3 linked regions of the Oryctolagus cuniculus genome follow. The protein of the gene in region 3 purifies or fractionates together with the protein of the main gene of each other region. This does not show direct contact. Links are inferred from orthologs where the notes say so. Each region holds a gene or a part of one and is shown on either strand. Other genes may lie near its edges.

Region 1 (7,598 bases), on a different chromosome or scaffold from region 3:
TATATTTACCTTCATAGTAGAAGTTAAAAGAAGCCAATAATAACTACACCTCATCTGGTGGTATTATAAAGTTTAATTAATGTTTCTAAGGTATGAGTTGAACTCACAAGATGAAAGATTCTTTTTTTTTTTTTTTTTTTTTTTTTTTTTTTTACAGGCAGAGTGGACAGTGAGAGAGAGAGACAGAGAGAGAAAGGTCTTCCTTTGCCGCTGGTTCACCCTCCAATGGCCGCCGCTGCAGCCGGCGCACCGCGCTGATCCTGGCAGGAGCCAGGAGCCAGGTGCTTTTCCTGGTCTCCCATGGGGTGCAGGGCCCAAGCACCTGGGCCGTCCTCCACTGCACTCCCTGGCCATAGCAGAGAGCTGGCCTGGAAGAGGGGCAACCGGGACAGAATCCGGCGCCCCAACCGGGACTAGAACCCGGTGTGCCGGCGCCGCAAGGTGGAGGATTAGCCTATTGAGCCACGGCGCCAGCTCGAAAGATTCTATATATGGAACATGTGTTGAGTGCCCAATCTGATTTAGTCTGATAATGGCTATAACTGTATGGTGTCCCACATTATACATCTTGATTATAGTGAGTTCAACCTTGAAAAATGTATTTTAATATTGAGAATGTGTTTAACATTGTTTGGCAATGTTTGGGTGTACAGAATATAAACTTACAACTAGCTACAAATAGTTGATTCTTGATGTAAAAAATCTTTACAAAGTAACATGGGAGGTTTTTTTTGTCCTTTAGAAATTGGCCCGAGGGCCCAAGAAAAAGCAAAATTTCAGTTCTCACAAATTGCATAGAAATAATCTAAGATGGTCGGTGTCATAAAATGTAAAAGTATTAAAATTACCTATCTGAGGATTGACCTGGTTCAAAATAAAATGAGTTTGTAAAATGACAAAGGGAGATTATTATTAATCATTTAGGAAAAAAGAAAAATTACTTTTTCCACAAAATCCAATGCTGTTTTATGGAGAACTTAAATAGTAGGTTAGACCACTGGGCCATTCAAGTGAGCCAGAGCTCAAGAGCCAAGGATTTGTGCTCATAAAACTAAGATGTAACTCAGAAGACTGAAGGCTTAGATAACCATGTGAGATTGGGAGCCATTATTACTAGAATGTAGTTGAATATAAATAGACCTCAAATATCCCTCAAGTTAGTATAAAAGTTTATCTTTGTATGACAAAAGCAGCTTTCTCTTATCTTTATGTCCATTCCCTTTCAGCACTGATACTCATAATTTTAAAATACCAAGCATTTCTCTAGACCTAAGGAATTTACATAAACTAGAATAACCTTGTCCCTTACACACAGCATTATTTTATCCTCATTCAGTGAAACAGTCAATTCAGTAAGTTTCTATTTTTCATTTACAAGGTTATTCAGCATTGTCTGAAATGTGAGACACAGCAAAGGCTTAATGTTTTAGGACACCTTCCCTGGCCTTCAAAGCTTACCATCTCATTTTGGGCAGCAAAACAGTATGGTGTATTTGAAAGTGCTTCCATCTGCCCCCTTTCAGGGTTTTTTTCCTCCCTTCCTAGGCCCTGGGGCCAAAATTCCTTTAGAGCCTGTTTTCAGCAAGCTATCCTGGAACAGTACAAAGATACTGGCTGATAATGCTCAAGGAACTCCCTTTCCAGGAGAATCTACAAGGACTTTTCAAGACCAAAAAGGGGGGGGGGGAGTGTTTAAAGAAAGTTACAAAGTTGATTTATGTGGTATGGCCTGATTCACCAATCAGGCCATACCACACAATCTGCTTTTACTACTCCTATAATCTTGCCACTCCCTTGTTTTAAAAGCCCAGTTTGCTTGTCTCATGCTATCTAACATAACCTACAGGATAGATTCCAAAATTCTTGGCTTGGTTTACTAGGCACTTTTGAGCCTCATCTTTCTTAGTCCCAACCAGACATCCTGTTTTCCAGTCTCACTGCAGTTGCCATGTTTCCATAAACATGCCAGGCCCTTTCACAACTCCCTGCTTTGTGCATGTTTCCACTGCCCAGAATGCCTTTCACTCTCTTCCTTGTCTTATTGGCAGCTCCCACTTTGAGACTCAGCACAAATGTGTCTCTCAAACTCCCTGATTTTTCCAGAGTTCCTTCAAATTTCTTGTTTTGCCTCTTGCCACAGCACTTTGTACATTTGTTAAAAGTACTTTTATGGACATTAATTTTGAAACTAGAAGAGTACTTAAAAAATTTATGGAAAATGCATACTATGTGGAAACCATTCATGAATTTTGAAATTTTTCTGTTTGCCCAAATAAATTTATCTTTTAATCCCATTTTTTTTATGAGCTTTGTGTAGTACCCTTCTGTCTTCCCCCACTGGCTTCTCAATGGCAGGGACTTGGCATAGTGTCTGGCACATAAAGTCTCCGGATACATGTTCATTAAAAGTTTCTGTAGTTAGATCAACAGGTTGAAAAAATTATTGTTTGCTCCCCCTGAGAGTGTTCTACGGTTAAAAACTACCTTAGGGAACTTACAGGGTTTGTTATTGTTAATTTAACCAAACATCAAGTTTTGTTTGATCGGCGATCAAATTTAAAGTTTTTGCTCCTGGAATACATTAGTAGAAAACATGACTTTTGCCAATATTGTTCTCCTAAAATGTCTCCTTTGAAACACTGTAGAAGCTGAGACTTCATCAAAGGAAGTAGGTCTTAGCTTTTTGTTTGGTCTATAAATTACTGAATTCATGGCTGATGAAGTCGGGATAGCATGTGGTTCCAAGAATTGCACTGGGTCAGGACTTAGCTACCTTCCTATTTCTTTGCCTTAGAATACACCCTTGGCTCTGGCCAGCCATCTTAGAAAATGCTCCTGGTAAGAAGTAAAAGAACTTACACATACGCTATTGAGAAAAGTATCAAAACTCTGGCTCTATTCAATTTTGGCTCTGTGGTGTCCTTGACATAAATAATTTATAGCTACACTGAATCAAATTCTTTTTCTATGTAAGCTCCTTTTCTTCTAACAATATTGTAACATCAGTAGGCATAATGACAAGATTTGTTTTCTTCCATTTCGGGTTAGTCTCTTCGCCTGGCAACCCCTCCTAATTCCTTTATCTCTTTCAAAGTTTCCATTCTCTCCTTCCCTTACTTTTTACTCCTTCCCTCCCTCTCCCTTCCTCTTCCGCCTCCCCCTTTTTCCCAGCTAGCTTACCCCGCCCCTCACCGTCACCACCTTCCCTCCCCTTCAGGATCCTTCCCGCTCCTTCTCCCGTCACCCCCCACCGTGGCCGCCCGCCTCGCGTTCATAAAGCGCCAATCAGAAGCCCCGAAGGTGTTTCGAAGGCCCGCCCCCTCCTCCCTCTCCACTTCTCTTCCCCCCCTTTGCTCCCTCCCCACCCCCCACTCAAGTCCTGCGGACTCGGGGGCTTCGGGAGCTGGGCGCTATGAAAAGTGTCTGCCCAGTCACTTCCGGTAAGAACGCCGCGGCGCAAAGCTCCCCGCGGGACCGTTACGGAGGGATGGGAGTTACCGATGGGCCGGAGGAGGGAGGTACTGCCGGGGAAGGGAAGAGGGAGCGAGAGCCGGAGCAGAGTAGTGCGAGCCTCTGAGGCGCTTCAGCTGCCCCTGTCCCGCCATCCCGCTGTGCGCCAGCTCCCCTGCCCCCCTGGGCGGCTGCGGTGCTCTTCTCCAACCCCCACTCCGGGGACAGACGCCGCCCCTCCTTCGGCGCCGCGTGACCGGAAGTGGCGCCATCTTTAGCCTCTTGTGCTATTGACAATAACAAGCCCTGGGTCTCTTCTCCCCCTCCCCCCCCACCACCACAGCGTCTCCCCTCCCAGAGAGAGGGAGAAAAGGAGGAGGAGCTACAGCCTCAGACTCAGACTCGCTCCTGCAGAAACGGGGGGGAGAGAGCTCGAAAAGCAGGGGAGGGGGACGGCACGGCCGTTTACCTGTCTGCCGCTTCATTCACTCTCCCCCCTCGTTCTGCTCACTCCTGGTGTCAGCCTATCCGCCTTCCCAAACCCTCCCATTTCCCCGGTGTAGCCCCCCCTTCACTTTCCTGCTCGTCCTCTGTGTTTCTCCTCTCTTCCCTTCCCCCTCTAGCATTGCCACCTTCTCCTACACGCACGCAGGCATATAAACTGTAGGTTTTTGATGCTCCTCTGCCTGTTGACCCCGCTATTTTCATGTTTCCAACAGGTTTTTCTTCCCCCAATCCCTCAGCTGCTGCTGCTGCTCAGGAGGTCAGATCTGCCACTGATGGTAATACCAGCACCACTCCGCCCACCTCTGCCAAGAAGAGAAAGTTAAACAGCAGCAGCAGTAGCGGCAGTAACAGTAGTAACGAGAGAGAAGACTTTGATTCCACCTCTTCCTCCTCTTCCACTCCTCCTTTACAACCCAGGGATTCGGCATCCCCTTCAACCTCGTCCTTCTGCCTGGGGGTTTCGGTGGCTACTTCCAGCCACGTACCGATACAGAAGAAGCTGCGTTTTGAAGACACCCTGGAGTTTGTAGGGTTTGATGCGAAGATGGCTGAGGAATCCTCCTCCTCCTCCTCCTCATCTTCACCAACTGCTGCAACATCTCAGCAGCAGCAACTTAAAAATAAGAGTATATTAATCTCTTCTGTGGCTTCGGTGCATCATGCAAACGGCCTAGCCAAATCTACCACCGTCTCTAGCTTTGCTAACAGCAAGCCTGGCTCTGCTAAGAAGTTAGTGATCAAGAACTTTAAAGGTAACCAAAGCCAAAATTCATAATCACCTACTAAAGATTTGACACTTCAGCGGTCACGTGCTCTATTTATGTTACTATATTAAAGAGCATAGAGGTAGCTAATGTTTTATGCGTAATTAATGAGGTGGAGGGGAGGTCCTTTTTTTGGTGGAGGGTTCATTTGCCAGGGGGGTGGTTAGGAACCTTGTGCTGAGGCATACACCCCGTGTTTCTGTGCAGTATTTTGAGGTTTTCCTCAACCTGTTATATTTAATTTGTTGTCCCTTATAACATTGGGTATCTACAGTATGATTGATCCGGATTTTACAGGTGAGAAATTTATGTTCTAAAGAGGTTTGTTTATTTCAGGTGCATAGTGAGCCTTGGCACTGCTGGGATTTGTATTTTTGTGCTTCAGTAGGCCACATTATCCAGTCCCCAGAAAAGCAGGTAGCAATGGTGATCTTTCCATGCTCAAATAGGACTTAGATTGTTGAATACTGTATTTATGAAACTCATTGCAGAAGCAGTATTCAGAGAAAATATTTATGGTCTCTACATATCTTACCAAAGATAGGGGTTAGAATTGAAAAATACTGGGTATACACAGAAGTTGTAACTCTGTGTACCACTAGTCTAAAGATAGGTACAGTTACTACATCTATTTTTTTTATCACTAAAACGAGTTTTAAAGTATTGCCCTAAAGCTTTTAGGAAAATTTGTTAATATTGTCTTTGATAGGTGATTGAAAGTATTATGAACGCATTGATGCTAATACAAAATCAAGTTTTAAAAAAAATGTATTCAGCTGAATTAATTTGTATCTGTTGAATGTGTTCTATTTTTCTGGCTCACTTATTCAACACCTTTAACTGGCAGGTAATAAGTGCAAAAATGATTATTAAATGGAGAAGTAAATGAATGAACTTAAGTAATATTTACTGCATAAGTGCCTTGGGGCTTAATACTAGTATCGGAAAAATTAGGTGTTCACTATCTGTATTTTCAACATTAGTGTAAAAATAAAGAATATACTCTTTTATTTCAAGCAGAGAGATATGGTGTTGTTTATTTTTAACCCTTTCTTTTTATATCACTTCTCTCCCATTTGCAGACTCTTGAAGAGTGTTATATTCTGACTTAAGAGTAAAGCTTTCTGCTTTCTGAAGTGAATATGAATTGTAATTGACTAATGTGTTCATTATTTAGCTGAAATATTTTGCTTAATAGCCAAGATTTTTATAAGAAGTGAGCTGTGATCCTAATTGCTTCTGAAAATTGATTTAAGAAATTTTGTTTTTTTCTTCCTCCAAAAAAATTAAAACACATTATTAAGGCATTTCAATGCTTTAATTAAAAGTTTTTTTCCACTCATTGATGGCCAGTGAAGTGTAAAAGCCTAGCATTTCAGTGTTTCTTTCTATTTAGAAAATGCTGCATAGTTTCTGGAGTCATTTGGATATTTGAATTTCTTTTAAAATTTCATTCTACTCATAAATGTAGTTTAAAACCTGAGTTAAAATGTTTTTCTCCATTTCTGTAGTTTCTGCATAAATTTGGGGATCAAAAAGACCAGGATTAGAATGCCAGACTTGCCGTTGACTAGTTACAGTGACCTTGGGCAAACTTACCAAATGCTTTCCATCCTTGGATTCCTCAGTTTTGATACTTAGCCTAGGGCATTGTTAGGATGGTAAAGGGGTTTATAAAATTCCTTGCACATAGTAGACATACAATATTTTAAATCTCAGGTACAAAATTCATGTTGACTTAGGTTTTACACATGATGAAATAAGGTCAGGATTGTTACTTTTTATCTGTCATTCTTGAATTTTTATTTTTTGAAGCAATACGTTCAGTAGGAGAAAAAAACCCTCACCTTCAGTTTTAATAGGTGAGTTAAAGTGACCAATAAAATTTGAAATATTAGAATACTGTTTCTTTATACTGAGCTCTTAATACAGTGGTTGCTTTAACATTTAAGTGTAATAGTTATAAAGATCACAGTTTACTTTAAAAACAGTAATGTAATTGTATTTTGTGGACCTTCAGTTGCTATATTCTATATGTTGTTTTAATGCCAACCTTTTATATATCATCTAGATAAGCCTAAATTACCAGAAAACTACACAGATGAAACTTGGCAGAAACTGAAAGAAGCAGTGGAAGCTATTCAGAATAGTACTTCAATTAAGTACAATTTAGAAGAACTCTACCAGGTATGTATTAATGTGATAACTAGATTTCATTAACATAAATTGAGGTGAGATAATTTGGATTTACTTTCTGAAATAGGGCCTTAAATACACTTTTGCCTCTTTTCTAATTACAATTTCTTGATGCACTCCTTTTTACAATCAGACCATATACTCATAAACTGAGTACAGTCATATTGGTTATAAGCCCACCTTATAGTATGAGTGGTATAAATTGAACTTATACCAGTATGACCTGGACACTCCTAATTAAGTTTCAGTTTGGTACACGTTGATATAATTGACATTTTTACCCATAATGGAATCTTGTAGGGTAGATCCCAAAGTGATTTCTGGAGACCTGTCACTCTTCTGTTATGATAATTCTTGCTTAGTTGTTTCTCTCTTTTAAGAAAAGCCTCAAGACATGCAGATGTCCTTCACATCCTTTAGTCTACCTCTTTATTTGTAGCATTTTGCCACTTTTTTTCTTTTTTTTGCTCTGCATGTTTGTCTTATCTCCTGTGCCCAGATAGGAGCAGCAGGTTGTAGCCTAGCAGTATAGTCTGAGGCTCAGATTTGGAGATTTTTTTGCTTACAAATAAGTCTTTAAATTTGAAATGTTTAGGCCGGCGCCGCGGCTCACTAGGCTAATCCTCCGCCTAGCGGTGCCGGCACACCGGGTTCTAGTCCCGGTTGGGGCGCCGGATTCTG
Region 2 (7,498 bases), on a different chromosome or scaffold from region 3:
AAAAGACAGCTTCACTCATTCGCTCTCATTGACCAACCGCTGACTGAGCAGTCCTTTGTTGTGTGCCTGTCAAGGCTGGGTGCACAGCCGGGGTCTGAGCCATGGGCTGGGGCAGGGGCCGTGGTGCAGCTGGAGAAGTCACCACTGCAGGTGCCCGCGATCCCTTACCGAGTGCCGGTTCCGATCCTGGTTCCTGCTAGAGCGACCTGGAAGGCGGCAGATGGTGGCTCCAGTGCTCGGGCCCCTGCCACCCACCGGGGGAGACCCGCGTGGAGTTCCAGGCTGCTGGCTTCAGCCCGGCCCAGGCCTGGCTGTGGTGAGCGTTTGGGGAAGGAACCAGCAGATGGAGATCTCTGTCTCTCTGCGTCATTCTGCCTTTCAGTTGGAGAGAGTGAATGAAGTCCTGGATTGTTAGAGCAGGAGGGAGCCTCAGGAACCTGAGGCCTGTGCCAGGCCACAGCGTCAGAACTAGGAGAGCTTCTCTTTCTCTCTCTCTCTCTCTTTTTTTTTTTTTTTTTAAATTTTTTTAAGTGCTAGACTCAAGCCTCAGCAAGGCAAATCTGAGTCTCTCTCACTCTCTTTATTTTTATTTTTATTTTTATTAATTTGACAGGTAGAGTTATAGACAATGAGAGAGAGACAGAGAGATAGGTCTTCCTTCCATTGGTTCACTCCCTAAATGGCTGCTAAGGCTGGCCAGGAGCCAGGTGCTTTCTCCTGGTCTCCCATGTGGGTGCCGGGCCCTAGCACTTGGGTCATCCTCCACTGCACTCCCGGGCCACAGCAGAGAGCTGGACTGGAAGAGGAGCAACTGGGACTAGAACCTGGCGCCCATATGGGATGCTGGTGCCACAGGCGGAGGATTAACCAAGTGAGCCACAGCGCCGACCCCTCTTTTTAAATTAAAAAAAAAAAAGATTAATGAATTTATTTACTTATTTGAAAGGGAGGGAGGGGAAGGGGGGAGAGAGAGAGAGAGAGAGAGAATCTTTCCACTGGTTCCCAGGGCCAAGCAGAAGCCAGGAACTCCATCTCTGTCTCCCACCTGGATGACAGGACCCCAAGCACTTGGGCCATCTTCCGCTGCTTTCCTGGGTGCATTAGTAGGAAACTGGATCAGAAGTGGAGAAGCGAGGGCTGGAACAGGCACTGGCTATGGATGCCGGCGGGCAAGCGGTGACTTAACCGCAGGCCTCCCCTCTAGGCCGTCTCCTGATGCGCTGTGTTCTCCAGCATTCTTGGACTCTGGGTGCATGTTTCTCCCCGAGAGATGACCGCCTACCTTCTGTGTGGGTAGCCTTGCTGGCAGGAAGCTCAATACCTCTTGAGGCCATCTTTGTCCATTAATGGTCAACCGTGACTGCTTGGAAGTTTCCTCATATTGAATCAGATGCCTTTCGGCTCACTTACTCCTATGTAAAGTCCATTTTTATTGAACACCTGCTAAGTGCCTACAGTTGAGTGCTGGGCAAGTGATGGTGATCAGCCAGGGTCTCTGGTCTGTGGAACTCAGGACAGGTGGTGATTACCAAGCATGTTCTGTGCTATGATTAGGAAATGACTGGAGACCACTGTAGACTCTCGGAGCCAGGCTGTAGGGGAAGAAGAACCCTGCAGGAAGTTTTGTCAAGGCCAAGAGCAGCAACAGCCAAGCGGACAGATGAAGAGAGGGAAAAATGAGAGCTTCTGGCAGGAAAAACAAAAACAAAAACAAAAAAAACCAGCATGGCCAGGGCTGCTGGTTTATCAAGGATGGTGTTTGGGGCAGTGTTTGAGCACTTAAGGGTGGGGAGGGGGGACGAGTTGTGATTAGAGGGGCGGATAGGAGCTTCCACGCTAAGGAGTCTGCACTTTGTCTATTTCCCTGAAGAAATGGAGGAACAAATTATGAACAAGTGATTGCTGTTCGACTCTCTGTTCTAAGAGGACCAAGTGCTTCCCGTGTGTCCCGACTGGGATCCCCTGGCTATCACCCCTCGGCCCTCTGCCTGGCTGGGGGAAGCCTTATTTAGCCCGGCCTGGCGCTGCTGAGCTTTCCTTGGGAATGTCTATGTGTAGGGGGAGGGGCGGCCCAGTTGCCACTGTCCATCTGCCCTCCTTGGTGTCCAGCCCCCATTGCCTGGCTCCCACACCGCCCTCGGTTGTCCTAGTGCTTTCTGGTGATTTCTGGTCACATGGCCATATGACCGTGAGCCTTGTCTGCTCCCCAGCACCCAGCCTAGGCTCTGGCCTCTCAGAGTGGGTGGGCTTGCCTTGGACTTCACCTGCCGGGGACCAGACTTCACTGCCCCTTTGCCTTCTGCCTAACCCACTGCCCAAGTCAGCGGATCACAGACACCCTTTTCCTGGGGCGGGGACTCTGAGAGAGCACTCTGCTTTGGATGCCTCCTCCTCCTCCGAGGGCTCCTCTATTCCTCTGGACGGTTCTCCTGGGTGGGCTCCCCCAAGTCGGGATTAACAGGAATCATCAACAGGACTACGGCTTTTATGATTCACAAAAATTAGCCCCAGTGAAATGGGGATAATAATAGCTGCTACCTCATAGGACGCACACCAGGCGAGATCCTGTGGTTGAAATGTCTGGCCCAGTGTGGCCCATCCTGGAGGTTCAACCAGTGGTGCCTAAGTACCGCTTTCCCCTCCTGAGCCCTGCCCCTCACTGTAGTTCGGAGACAGGACATTGTACTTGCCAAGCACCCACCCTGTGGGTCTGGCACAAGCTAGATGACTTAGAGACCTGAGCATCCTTCTGCCATGGTCTGACTGCCATGTCACCAATGAGGATACTGGGCTCAGAGCGGCTGCTTTACCCGCCCAAGGTCACACACCTTGCCGAGGCAGGGACCTGGACCTTGGGACTTCAAGGCTTGTGCTGTTCCCGTTCTACCATGCTGCGTCACTTGTCACTGTTCCGATCCTCCTCCTCCATCTTGGAGCCAGTGTGCTTCCTGGGGTGGGGGGTGGGGCTCTAAGGCGGCGGAGCAGGGTGGGGCCTCCTCCCAAGAATCTGGGACGTCAAGGCTTGCCACCTGCTCAGGGGCTTAAATTTCTCTGCAAGGGCCCTTGGCTAAATTAGGTAATGGGCTAGGACTCTGGGAGGGGTGGGGCTTGCTGACCCCAGGATCTGATTGGGCAGGGTATCCATTCCTGGGGAGCAGGGGGGTGGGAGGACAGGATGCCCCTACAAATCCCGGGGGCTGGAGTGGGCCACTGCGTCTGTGCGTGGTGGAGTTCAGGGGAGGCGGCTCACGGCAGGGGTGGCCCAGTGACCAGCAACCATGGTAAGGACATGAAGGGACTCTGCTCTGCTGGCTGGGGGCACTTCTAGACCTCTTTCAAGCAGATCTGGGTGTTCTGTGGGGTGGGAACTTAGATGCTTGATGGGGGGCGAGAAGGTTGTGGAACACAGGTGTTCAGAGGAAGCCTGGGAAGTCCTTTGACTTCTCTTGGTTGGGGAGGGCTGGATGTCCCAGGGATTGGTCCTGCGGCCACTGTGCTGCCCACTGCGGAGGCTTCCAGCAGTGCTAGGCACAGAGCTCCGGGAGGTCTTATCCCATCTCCTTTATGGTGGTGACAGACCCCCAGGGGCTGCAGTGAGTTCCCCAGGGAGCCAGTGGTGGGGGGTGGGGGATGGGCTGGAAGCCTGGCCAAACCCTCCTGCTGTCAGTGAGAGAAGAAAGCCAGCTCCTAGGAAGATGGGAGGCCCACAGGGCCCCACGCCAACTCCAAGAGCCCTGAGGATGACGGAAGGGGCAGGAGACAGCAGTCGGAGGGACCCCCACCTCCCCGGGAGGGGTTTTGATTTGGGACTGAGGTTCCCCCTCCAGAGATCACTTCAAGGAGTAACTGGACCCCAGAGGCCAGCTGCTGCTGCCCATGCCCTGCTAAAAATAGCCTGCCCTCCTGGCACAGGCGGAGAGGAGGGCAAGAAAGAGGGGGAGAAACAGGAGGCCCAGGGCCAGGGCCCAGAACTGCTTGTCCATCTCACCCCTGCCTCACTGCCAGCCCCAGACTAGAGCCCCCAACCCGGATGGCCTGGCCCGGATGGGTCGTGGACGGCTCATTTTCACGCCACCCTCCGCCTAGCCTGAGGGCCGTGCACTCCAATGCCTGCTTGGCACCTCCACGCATGTGCCCCTGTCAGCCGGGGGTCCCCGTGTCTGGGCTGTGGCCTGACACTTAGCTAGTGCTCAGTACTCTGGGTTGCGTCATTACTGCACCCTGGAGCGGTGCAGGTACCTTGCAAAGCCCCTTTCCCGCCTCCGATTTCATCTCAGCCCCGAAAAGCCACTGAGAGGAGACCAGGGCGTGACCTGCGGCTTCCCCAAAGTCCCCAGGGGGCAGGGTGTGTGTTGGGGGGCTGGGTTGTGCCTGACTTGGCCCTACAAGTATTGCCGAATGAGGACCTCTGACCTAATCTGGGTCTCCGCTCTTGTCAGGTGCCGTGGGGACACACAGGTGGGACAGGTTTCCTGACGGAGGAGGGCGCTACACAGGGCGGGGTCGAGGTGGGACTGGGTGAGCAGGGTGGTCCTCCTGTGCTCTGACCCTGTGTCTCCTGCAGACGGACCAGCAGGCTGAGGCCCGGTCCTACCTCAGCGAGGAGATGATCGCTGGTGAGTGCAGGGTGGGGTGAGGGTGTGTGTGCAAGGGGGCGTGTGGGAGGGTGACATGTGCCAGGGCACATGTGTGGGGTCTGGGCAGCAGTGGGGGTGGGTGTGAGCCTGGCAGGCCAGCCCACCTCACCTCAGCTCTCCCCTCCACCCCCCTGCAGAGTTCAAGGCCGCCTTCGACATGTTTGATGCTGATGGCGGTGGTGACATCAGCGTCAAGGAGTTGGGCACAGTCATGAGGATGCTGGGCCAGACACCCACCAAAGAGGAGCTGGACGCCATCATCGAGGAGGTGGATGAGGATGGTGAGCGGGCAGCCCCGCCCAGGTCAGGGCCGCGGGGGCGCGAGGTGGGCCCGGGGCGGCGCTCAGTGCCTGCCCTGCGCCCGCAGGCAGCGGCACCATCGACTTCGAGGAGTTCTTGGTCATGATGGTGCGCCAGATGAAAGAGGACGCCAAGGGCAAGAGCGAGGAGGAGCTGGCCGAGTGCTTCCGCATCTTCGACAGGTGCGCGGGGTGGGGGAGCGCGGGGCGCGCGGGGCGGGGGGGCTCTCCCACGGGCACAGCACGGGAATGCCTGGGGGGTGCGGGTGCGCGAGGGGCGCGTGCAGCGACGCCCGGGCAGCTGCTGAGCCCTGTCCCGGCCCTCGGCCCCGAAGGAACGCAGACGGCTACATCGACGCCGAGGAGCTGGCTGAGATTTTCAGGGCCTCTGGGGAGCACGTGACGGACGAGGAGATCGAATCCCTGATGAAGGACGGGGACAAGAACAACGACGGCCGCATTGACTTCGACGGTGAGCGCCCGGCAGTCGCGGGCCGGCGTCGGGGGCGTGGCAGGCCTCGGCCCCGCGGGTGGGGCTGGGCGTGGACCGAGCGGAGCCGCCCCCAGCCCCCGCGGGCGGGCGGGTGGGCAGTGCTGGCGCTGAGCCTCGCCCTTGCTTTCCTGCAGAGTTCCTGAAGATGATGGAGGGCGTGCAGTAAGGCTGGGGTCTCAGCCTCGGCCCCGCCGGCTCGTTCCCTGCCCCGCGCAGGGGGCGCGGCCCCTTCTGGCTCCGTGTCTGGAAGGAATAAAAGCAAACGTTGCCAAGCTCATGGCCTGAGTGAGGGGCGGGCCGGGGCTGCGGGGAGCGGGATGCGGCGGGGGCCACGGGGGGCTTCGGGCCGAGGGAGAGGGGGTGGAGCCCCCTGCCTGCCCCATCGCCCATGCGTTCCCGAGCCTCTGAGCGTGGGTGTCAGGCTCGCCGTCGTGGGCCGGCTCCCGGGCCGGGAGCGGGGCGACGGCAGCGTTTTCTGCGAGCCCGCTCGGTCTGGTCCGTTCTTCCAGCGCTTGCGGGGCACCCGGCGCTGGCAGCGGAGAGGGGGCAGCAGCTCCTCCCCGGGGGGCCCCCGCCACGGGCCGACCGCCGACCGCGAGAACCAGCTCCCGGGAACCTGACCGGGCCGCGCCCCCGCTGAACGTCCTGCAGGACCCCTCGGGGCCTCCAGAATCCAATCCAGATGCCTCGCTCTGGGCTCCCTCACTCCTCCCGCCGCCGCTCCTGCGTTTGCCGGCCTCTGGGCCCTTGCACGCTGCTGTTCCCGCTCCCTGCAATGCTCTTCCCCTTATGATCCTGGCAAATTCTTCAACCCACGAGGCCCAACGCGGAGACCATCTCCCCCCTTGATCCCTGCACCCACAAGCTGCAGATCTGGCTCCCATGGTGCTTTGCACACAATTCTGCATAGCAGGGATCAGGTCGTAGCTAATTGAGTGTAGTAGTTGTTGAACTTTAGAGTCAGGCTCTCTGAATTTGTATCCTCACAGTAAACGACTTGGGACCTCAGTATTTTTATCCGTAAAATGGGGCAATGATCATACTTACCTTAGAGGGTTTCAAGAACAAGTTGGTATGTGCAAGGTGCTTAGAACAGTGCCAGGCACACAGCAAGTGTTTAATTAATGCTGTCCACCATTATCCTCCTCCTCCTCCCTGAAACTCTGTCCTGTTTTTTGTCTTTTTTTTTTTTTTAAAGATTTATTTATTTGAAAGAGTTACACAGAGAGAAGGAGAGGTAGAGACAGAGAGAGGTCTTCCCTCCATTGGTTCACTCCCCAAATGGCCGCAATGGCCGGAGCTGCGTTGATCCAAAGCCAGGAGCCAGGAGCTTCTTCCGGGTCTCCTATGTGTGTGCAGGGGCCCAAGGACTTGGACCATCTTCTACTGCTTTCCCAGGCCACAGCAGAGAGCTGGATCGGAAGAGGAGCAGCCAGGACTCGAACCGGTGCCCACATGGGATACCGGCGCTTCAGGCCAGGGCGTTAACGTGCTGTGCCACAGGGCCGGCCCCTGTCCTGCTGTTTTACGCATTGCTACCTGCCACTCCCTCCATCTTGGACCTAGTCTCTGCTTTGTCCTGTTGCTGATTTCCCGGTTTGCTGTTCCAGCCAGGGTTGGTGCTGGGATTCCAGCACCGTCATGGCTGTGCCTTGTGCCTTATGCACTTGGTCTGGGTCATCCACACGGCGCATCCAGAGGCAGATGCTGCTCTTATCCCCGTTTTGCAGTTGTGGGAACTCAGGCCCAGGGAGGTGAAGTAGAGCAGCCCACAGATAACAGCCTGGATGGGGCCCAGCACAGGGACTCTGGTGCTCACCCCCCCCCCCCCCCCCACACACACATACACCCTCTGCTTCCTGTCTCCTTACCCTGCTTCATCCTCCTCTCTGTGCCCACTGGGCACTGCCCCTGGACCACCACCCCCCGAGCCACTGTCCCCTGGGCCACCATCCCCCGGGCCACAGCCCCCAGACCACCACCACCACCCGGGCCATCACCCCCCAGGCCAAACACTGGCCCCCAAGTAAGACTGCTCTGAAAACGAATCTGGTCACATCACTGTCCTG
Region 3 (7,360 bases):
CTTGGGCCCTGCACCCACATGGGAGACCAGGAGAAGCACCTGGCTCCTGCCATCGGATCAGCGCGGTGCACCGGCCGCGGCGGCCACTGGAGGTAAAGGAAGACCTTTCTCTCTGTCTCTCTCACTGTCCACTCTGTCAAAATAAAATAAAAAATAAAAAAAGAGTAATCTAAACACAAAATTATCCATTTCAATACATACTGATTTCTAATGATGTTCAAAGGATACAGTTCCTAAACTCCAAACAAAAAGACATTCCAGTCACCAACAAAAAATTGTCACTGGCTAATGAAAATTTAAGCATTTTATTTTATTGTACATTATAACAAACAATTCTCTTTAAGTTCCTTAAAATCACTTTGTCAATTACATCTTTTAATTTAGAAGGGTTAGAAAGTGTAATTTCAAGTTGTAGGCAAGTCTGTCCTAAAGGAAAGAAACAGGAATAGAAACAGGAAATGTACTGAAGTAACAGTATCTTTTATCCTGAATGTTTACCTGGAGCAGGCATTGGGGCAGAGCAGGTCTGTGTCCCAGCTGCTCTACCTCCACCTTCCGGTTGTCTGGGAAAGCAGCAGAGGATGGCCAAAGTGCTTTGGCCCTTGCCCTCAAGTGTAAGACCTACAAGAAGCCCCTGGCTCCAGCCCAGTCCAGCCCTGGTCACTGGAGCCATTTGGAGAGTGAACCAGTCGATGGAAAAGCTCTAACTCTGCCTTTCGAATAAATAAATCTTAAAAAAAAAAAAAAAAGTATCTTTTTAAAACTGTTTACAGAATGGAAATGAAATGTGTACTAATAAGTTAATATAACAATCACTGAATTCCAAAACCACCACTCTAAAGCCGGTTTACAGTACTAGAGTAAGTCCAACAAACATACAGGAAGGTGTCTCTAACTCTGGACTTGGGCAGTTCCTGAAAGAAAATTTAGAAACACACACTGGAATTCAGATCAGGTTCATAAAGCCTACAATCCTTAGCCTAGCTTCTAAATCCATGCTAGTCCAAAATAACACCAGAAAGGGTGAATCTTGTAAATTTCAGAGTTGTAAGTAAACACATACATCTTTCTGGTAAATGACAAACTATTCAAATCCTTTCCCACAACATGAAAAGATATTTTATAAACCATAATTTTGTTTGATGTAAAAGAAAGTATTTAATCAATTTAAGTAAAATCAATTACAAATCGTGAACTGCACATCCTTATCTGAAATGCTTAGGACCAACAGTGTTTCCAATTTCAGTTTTTCGAATTCTGGAACATGCTTTACCCACTGAGTATCCCTAATCCAAAATCTAAGGAAAATTTCTGAGCATCAATATCACACACACTATCAGATTCTAGAACATTTCGGATTTAAAGATTAGGGGTAGGGCCAGGGCTGGTTTAGCGGGTTAACACCCTGGCCTGAAGCGCAGGCATCCCATATGGGTGTTTGTTCTAGTCCTGGTTGCTCCACTTCCAATCCAGCTCTCTGCTACGGCCTGGGAAGGCAGTAGAAGATGGCCCAAGTCCTTGGGTCCCTGCACCCATGAGGGAGAGCCGGAAGAAGCTCCTGGCTTCAGATCGGTGCAGCTCAGGTGTTGCAGCCAATTGGGGAGTGAACCAGCAGATGGAAGACCTCTCTCTCTCTTTCTCTCTCTCTCTGCCTCTCCTCTCTGTGTAAATGACTTTCAAATAAATAAATAAATCTTTAAAAAAAAAGATTATGGGTGCTCAACCTGTACTACCCAAAAGATGCATACTAATGGTGAAAAAATTTAAAATGCAAATATTACCAGGAAAATCTGCCTATTCATCTATCTGAATTGTATTGTTATTTAGCAGTAATTCATTATTAGAAATGCAAACAAATACATCAGGATTACATTTAACCAACAATGCTTAGCAATTGCATTATGTAAATGTTGAAATGTTTAAAAAAGAAATGTGTGTACTGCCTAAAATCCTTGGACTTGAAATTTTATTTTTAAAGGCAGGCTTTGGGCAGGCATTTGAGTTGGTAGTTAAAACACCAGTGTCCAATATGGAAGCACCTTGGGTTCCAGTTCCAGTTCCAGCTTCCCACTAACGCAGACCACAGGTCAAAGAGTTGCCACTCAGAAGGAGCTAGATTAAATCCCCACTCCTGGCTTTGGCCTGACCCAGCGGGGGCTTCTGTGGGCTTTTGGGGAATGAACCAGCAGAAGGGAGCTAGATCTGTCTCAACCTGTCAAAAATAAATGTTTATTTTGTTACAAGAAACTTGAAATCCATGTTACTTTTTTCATAATATGCATTTTTCATGAAGTTGCTGAAGACACCTCATACCATGGATTTCATTTTGCACCATAATAAAAATCTTTTAGTTTAAAAAATCCGCTCAGGTTAAGGCACCCTCTGCAGTGTTGTCCTCTCAGATGGGCACCAGCTCCAGTCCCTGGTGGTCCACTTCCGATCTAGCTCCCTGCTAACCCACCGGGGAAGCAGGGTGAGATGGCCCAAGTGCTTGGGCCTGGCAACCCACGTGGGAGATCCAGAAGTTCCCAGCTCCTGGCTCCTGGCTTCAGCCTGGCCCAGCCCTGGCAGTTTTCGCCTTTTGGGGAATTTACCTGGGGATGGATGTTCCCTCTGTAACTCTGCCAAACAAATAAATCTTTAAAAAATTTTAAAAAAATCTGTACCAAGATTATTTTTTAATTCCATTTTAAAACATCATCCTATACTTTGTGATAACTTAAAAAGACTGGATCTATTTTTACTGCCATGGAAGGATCTCTAATATGTAGTGTTAAAAAAAAAAAAGCAAGTGGCAAAGCAATGCTTACAACAGAACACCATCAGGTCAGGTCTGTCTCTCTCACACACACACACACACACACACACACCCCATCAGGTCAGGTCTGTCACACACACACACACCATCAGGTCAGGCCTGATACACACACACACACACCCCATCAGGTCAGGTCTGTCTCACACACACACACACACACACACCATCAGGTCAGGTCTATCTCTCACACACACACACACACACCCCATCAGGTCAGGTCTGTCTCACACACACACACACACACACACACCCCATCAGGTCAGGTCTGTCTCACTCACACACACACACACACCATCAGGTCAGGTCTGTCTCTCACACACACACACACACACACACCCCCCATCAGGTCAGGTCTGTCACACACACAAACACACACACCCCATCAGGTCAGGTCTGTCTCTCTCTCACACACCACACACACACACCCCATCAGGTCAGGTCTGTGTCACACACACACACACACACACACCTTCAGGTCAGGTCTGTGTCACACACACACACACACACATTCTCTGTGCTTTAAGAATACAAAGGACAAGATCTGGAAGATTATTCAGGGAACAGAGACATGACCTGCAGGGTAGGTGTGTGAAATCAGAATGGAAGGGCGCAGGGGGATTTTGATCATGTTTTTTACGTGCTCATGTCACTCAGCAAACCAGAAAGGATGTTTACATTACATGATAATTTCTCTCAAATAACTGACAAAACAGAACTGCAGGCTGTGAGATTTCATTTTCTCCTATTCTCCATTCGCTTTTGAAGTCAAACACAGTAAAAAATACTTTTACTTAGCAAGAAGTGATAAAATTGGAAAGAAAAAGATCTTATTTGACGTTGTTTGCCTTATGCCCAGATTTAAAAAGAAACAAACACACACATAAATAAACAGACTCCCTCACTGTAAGTGAGTCCATTTGGAAGCTACTGGACTCCCCAGTCGACTCGGGCGCGACCCAGAATCCTCCCAGCACCGTGCTGTCCAAAACAAGCACCGAAAAAGTGGAATAGCGTTCTCTCAAGTATTGGAGGTTGTTTTTAGAAAGCTTAACTAAGAAACAGTAAATGCCAAGTGTGTTTTCCAGGGGTGGGAACAGGAACGCGAAACCCTACACCACCTTAAAGCGGTCGAAACGAACTCCAGTGCAAGTGGCCCCGGGAGGCGCGCGGGGGCGGGGAGCGCTCGGCGCGGCTCTGCCCGGCTCTGCCCGGAGCAGGCGGTCCGAGGACGGGCGACGCCGAAGCCCTCGGGAGCCCGCAAGGAGCGTGGGCAGCAACAACTTGGGTCCCGCCGCCCGAGCCGGGGAAGAGCGCTGCAGAACAGCGAAGGCGCCAACTTTGCGCTCCGCCAGCTTCCACCGGGGGCTGCTCCCGAGTCCCAGCCCGCGAGCGACCGCGACCCCTTCCCCAGGCCACTACCGTCTGCCCCCGGCCCGAGCTTCCCCAGCGAAACCCAGCAAGGGCGGCGGCTGGCAGCTTGCAAGCGGGGGCTCGACCGCAGGAGGCACGCGCCTAAGGGGGTGGGGGGCCCACTCCGCACCCCCGATCCCCGGGGGCGCCCGTGCCGAGGGGCTGTCCCACCTCCAACAGCCCCGGCGGCGCGCCCCCTCCCCCACCGCGGGGCGGCGACCTCGGCGCCTCCGCCCCAGGGCCCCCGCTCACCCAGGTAGCGGCTCCGCAGCCGGGACGGGTCCTCCAGCCCGAGGGACCTTTTCCTCACATCCCACAACAGGTGTGGGCAGGAGCCGCCCCGAGACATGGCTCTGCCGGGGCCGGGGTCGAAGGGGAGACCACCGCGTGGGGGAGGGGAAGAGGGGGGAGGGGACAGGCGGATCAACACCCGAGCCGCACCGGCACCATCCGCGCGCCGGGGCTCGCGGGCGCAGCGAGTCAGATGGCGGCGGCGGTGGCAGCGGCGCCTCAGCCCCCGAAGCCCGGCCGCGCCCGGGCCGGAGCTCCCCTCATACTCTCCTCCTCAGACTACCCAGAACATCCAGAGATCAGCAACAGTCCCCTCCCTCGGCCCCCCTCCCCCAGGAGGCGGAGGCGGAGGCGGAGGCGGCGGCGGCCGGGCTCCGCCCTCTCCTCCTGTGAACGCCCGCCCCGCCCAGCCGTTCTCGCGAGATAACGACCACCCCCGAGATTGAGGCCGCGGTGCGTCACGGCTGCCCTCACCCAGGAAAAGGGGCTTCAGGCCACTCTAGCCAAGCTCTTAATTCTCTATGGATGGAAGAGCAGTAGAGAAAGAAGCCGCTGGGAGGTGTAGTCTCGTTCACGCGTCTCGGGTCAAAGGAAGCCAAGAGCTGATGTGCGGCGTCATCTTTAGTTGGGGCACGGAAGGCCCGAAAAGCCCATTTTAACTACGGGCCTCCAATAGTCCGAGCGATGGGGCATGAGAGAGCGAGTGCAGCTTCACTTTCCCTACTCCAACATGGCTTCGAGGGCAGGAAGGAGAAGGCGGAGGGGCCCGCTCGGCCCCGCCCACACGGCGGGGCGAGCCAATCGCGGCGGGCCGCTCCTCCTGCGCAAGCGCGCTGCCGGCGGGGCGCTGGGCGGCCTCGGTGAGGCAATCCCTCTGACACCTGTTGCCATGACTCCTCCTCCCGCTCCCTCCGCGGAGGGCAGGAGGCGGGCCTGGGCGGGCTGTCCCGCAGCCTCCGCCCCCTGAGCCCTCTCCGGGCGCGGGCCGCTGGCTGGTTTGCCCGGGGGCAAGCGAGCCGCGGCGAAGGGCACCCTGGTGGAAAGCGGACGCGAGGCGCTGTGGCAAGGGAGAGGGACGAGCTGCCCTTCGTTGTCAGCCAGGAGCGAGGACACAGCAACGCTCCCATCCGGCTGCCCGCGATCACTCGGCGGCCGACATGTCAGCCGCCGGCGCCCGAGGCCTGCGGGCCACCTACCACCGGCTCCTGGATAAAGTGGAGCTGATGCTGCCCGAGAAACTGAGACCGTTGTACAACCACCCGGCAGGTAATGGCCCCAGCCTGGCTCCCCCACGAGACCTTTTCTCCTCCCTCCAAAAGGCGCCTTTCAGAGACCCGCCGGTACCTGTGCTGCTGGCGACATCCCGCAGCGCCAGCCCCTGTCCGCCCTCTGCGTTTCACCTTCTGTCATCCCGCGGCTCCCCCGACCGCGGGAGGCGTGCAGGCGGCGCCCTTCCGGACCTCTCTCTCTGTGGCGCCGCTGCAGCCCGGCCCCGGCCTCCACATCTGGCCGCCTCCACGCCGGCAGCCGCGGGAGAGCCTCGCCTCGCCGCGCCGCCGTGGGCCCCGCGCGCCGCGGTGTGGGAGTGTCGCCCCGCAGGGTGCGGAGCAGAGGTCGTGGGCCCGCGTGCCTCAGTCTGCCCCCAGGTGTGCCGGTCGGACCCGGGCGTGAGTCCCCTTTCCCGTTTGCCATAGGTGTGACCTTGGGCGGAATGGCAGATCTCTGCGCGGTGGATGCGGGAATGCCACGCTCCGCGTTCACTCTCCTGTCCCAGTGGGAAACAGGGTGCCCGTGGCTGAGCGAATAATGCCCACCCGGCTCTTTATTTCAGACCTCTGTATCCTGAGGTCTCCCCCAAGCTCAGCACACGAGAAACTGTGTTTTGAATGGGAAGATGGAAGTGCCCCCCTCCCCAAAAGTGGCTTTCCCCCCTGCTTGGTAAATCTATAGTCCCCAGTCGGTGTCCGGGGTCCCCCCCGCTTCTCTGACTCCGCAGCCGCCCTCCGGAGTCTGAGCTAGTTACTAAGTCTGATTTCCAGTTAGATAACGAAGTGAACTACACCTTCAGACCGTAGCTTAACCCTTAATGTTGCCTACTGCAAGACGAAATACACCATAAAACGGCTCTTCACGGGGACATGGTGATTAATGAAGTTCATTTACCTCTTAGTTTTTTTATATAGCAGTCGATTTGGGGGGATAGTGCTGTGTTTTGTGGCCAAGGTTTTTCAGAGGGAGGATTGGGCTCTGCTTCGTAATCATCAGGGCATTACGGAGTCCTCTGAATAGTGTGGAGTTAGCTCCGACCTTCCTAAGCTCTGGGTAGAGGAGAAACAGTTCTGAACACCTTAATAGGGAAAGGGAAGGTAGTCTCCATTGTTCTTGTCCAAAGGCTTCGCTTGTGGCTGCCTGTAATTTTTGCTTGGAACACTTGCTCCACTTTCAGAATAAGAGCAGATTGTGTGCATTTCATCTGGGCACACTTGGGTTGGTCTGGGTATTTTAATCCCATTTCAGTGTGGTAGAAGGAACACAGGCGTAGAAACCAAACAGACCTAGGTTTGAGTCTTGGCTATGTGACCTTGACCTTACATTCCCAAGTCTTAGTTTTCTAGTCTGTAAAATGGGGATGATAATTATGACCTTTTAAGGACTCTCTCGCAAGGGTTCAGTGATATGGCTGTCATGCTTGCACTTTCACTGGCAACAAAAGTTAATTCCTCACTGCAGACTTATGTATGCTGAAGAGTTGTAGGCACTCCAATTTTTTAAATAAAGAAGTATGATAAAAATAACTGCTGACTCATTGGTATTGAGTAAAATCTGAGGAAATGCTAATTA

The links. Proteins that work in one complex are often made in the same cells at the same time.
Region 1: the proteins of DCAF6 (region 3) and CUL4B purify together in Homo sapiens (affinity purification with mass spectrometry; 6 studies listed by BioGRID and IntAct, with this or other methods). This does not show direct contact. The link is inferred for Oryctolagus cuniculus from reciprocal best matches to the Homo sapiens genes DCAF6 and CUL4B.
Region 2: the proteins of DCAF6 (region 3) and TNNC2 purify together in Homo sapiens (affinity purification with mass spectrometry; 3 studies listed by BioGRID and IntAct, with this or other methods). This does not show direct contact. The link is inferred for Oryctolagus cuniculus from reciprocal best matches to the Homo sapiens genes DCAF6 and TNNC2.

Annotation. Positions count from the first base shown.
Region 1 is NC_091453.1:98,286,119-98,293,716, reverse strand, and holds the start of CUL4B (cullin-4B), read left to right. Parts: upstream 1-3,323; 5' UTR 3,324-3,412; coding exon 3,413-3,518; intron 3,519-4,169; coding exon 4,170-4,709; intron 4,710-6,792; coding exon 6,793-6,908; intron 6,909-7,598.
Region 2 is NC_091442.1:13,565,469-13,572,966, forward strand, and holds TNNC2 (troponin C, skeletal muscle), read left to right. Parts: upstream 1-3,223; 5' UTR 3,224-3,278; coding exon 3,279-3,281; intron 3,282-4,564; coding exon 4,565-4,616; intron 4,617-4,774; coding exon 4,775-4,918; intron 4,919-5,004; coding exon 5,005-5,119; intron 5,120-5,271; coding exon 5,272-5,408; intron 5,409-5,563; coding exon 5,564-5,595; 3' UTR 5,596-5,699; downstream 5,700-7,498. UniProt on the Homo sapiens protein: Troponin is the central regulatory protein of striated muscle contraction. Tn consists of three components: Tn-I which is the inhibitor of actomyosin ATPase, Tn-T which contains the binding site for tropomyosin and Tn-C.
Region 3 is NC_091438.1:30,791,277-30,798,636, forward strand, and holds the start of DCAF6 (DDB1- and CUL4-associated factor 6), read right to left. Parts: upstream 4,922-7,360; 5' UTR 4,578-4,921; coding exon 4,481-4,577; intron 1-4,480. Other genes in the region: MPC2 (mitochondrial pyruvate carrier 2), read left to right, coding at 5,677-5,785. UniProt on the Homo sapiens protein: Ligand-dependent coactivator of nuclear receptors. Enhance transcriptional activity of the nuclear receptors NR3C1 and AR. May function as a substrate receptor for CUL4-DDB1 E3 ubiquitin-protein ligase complex.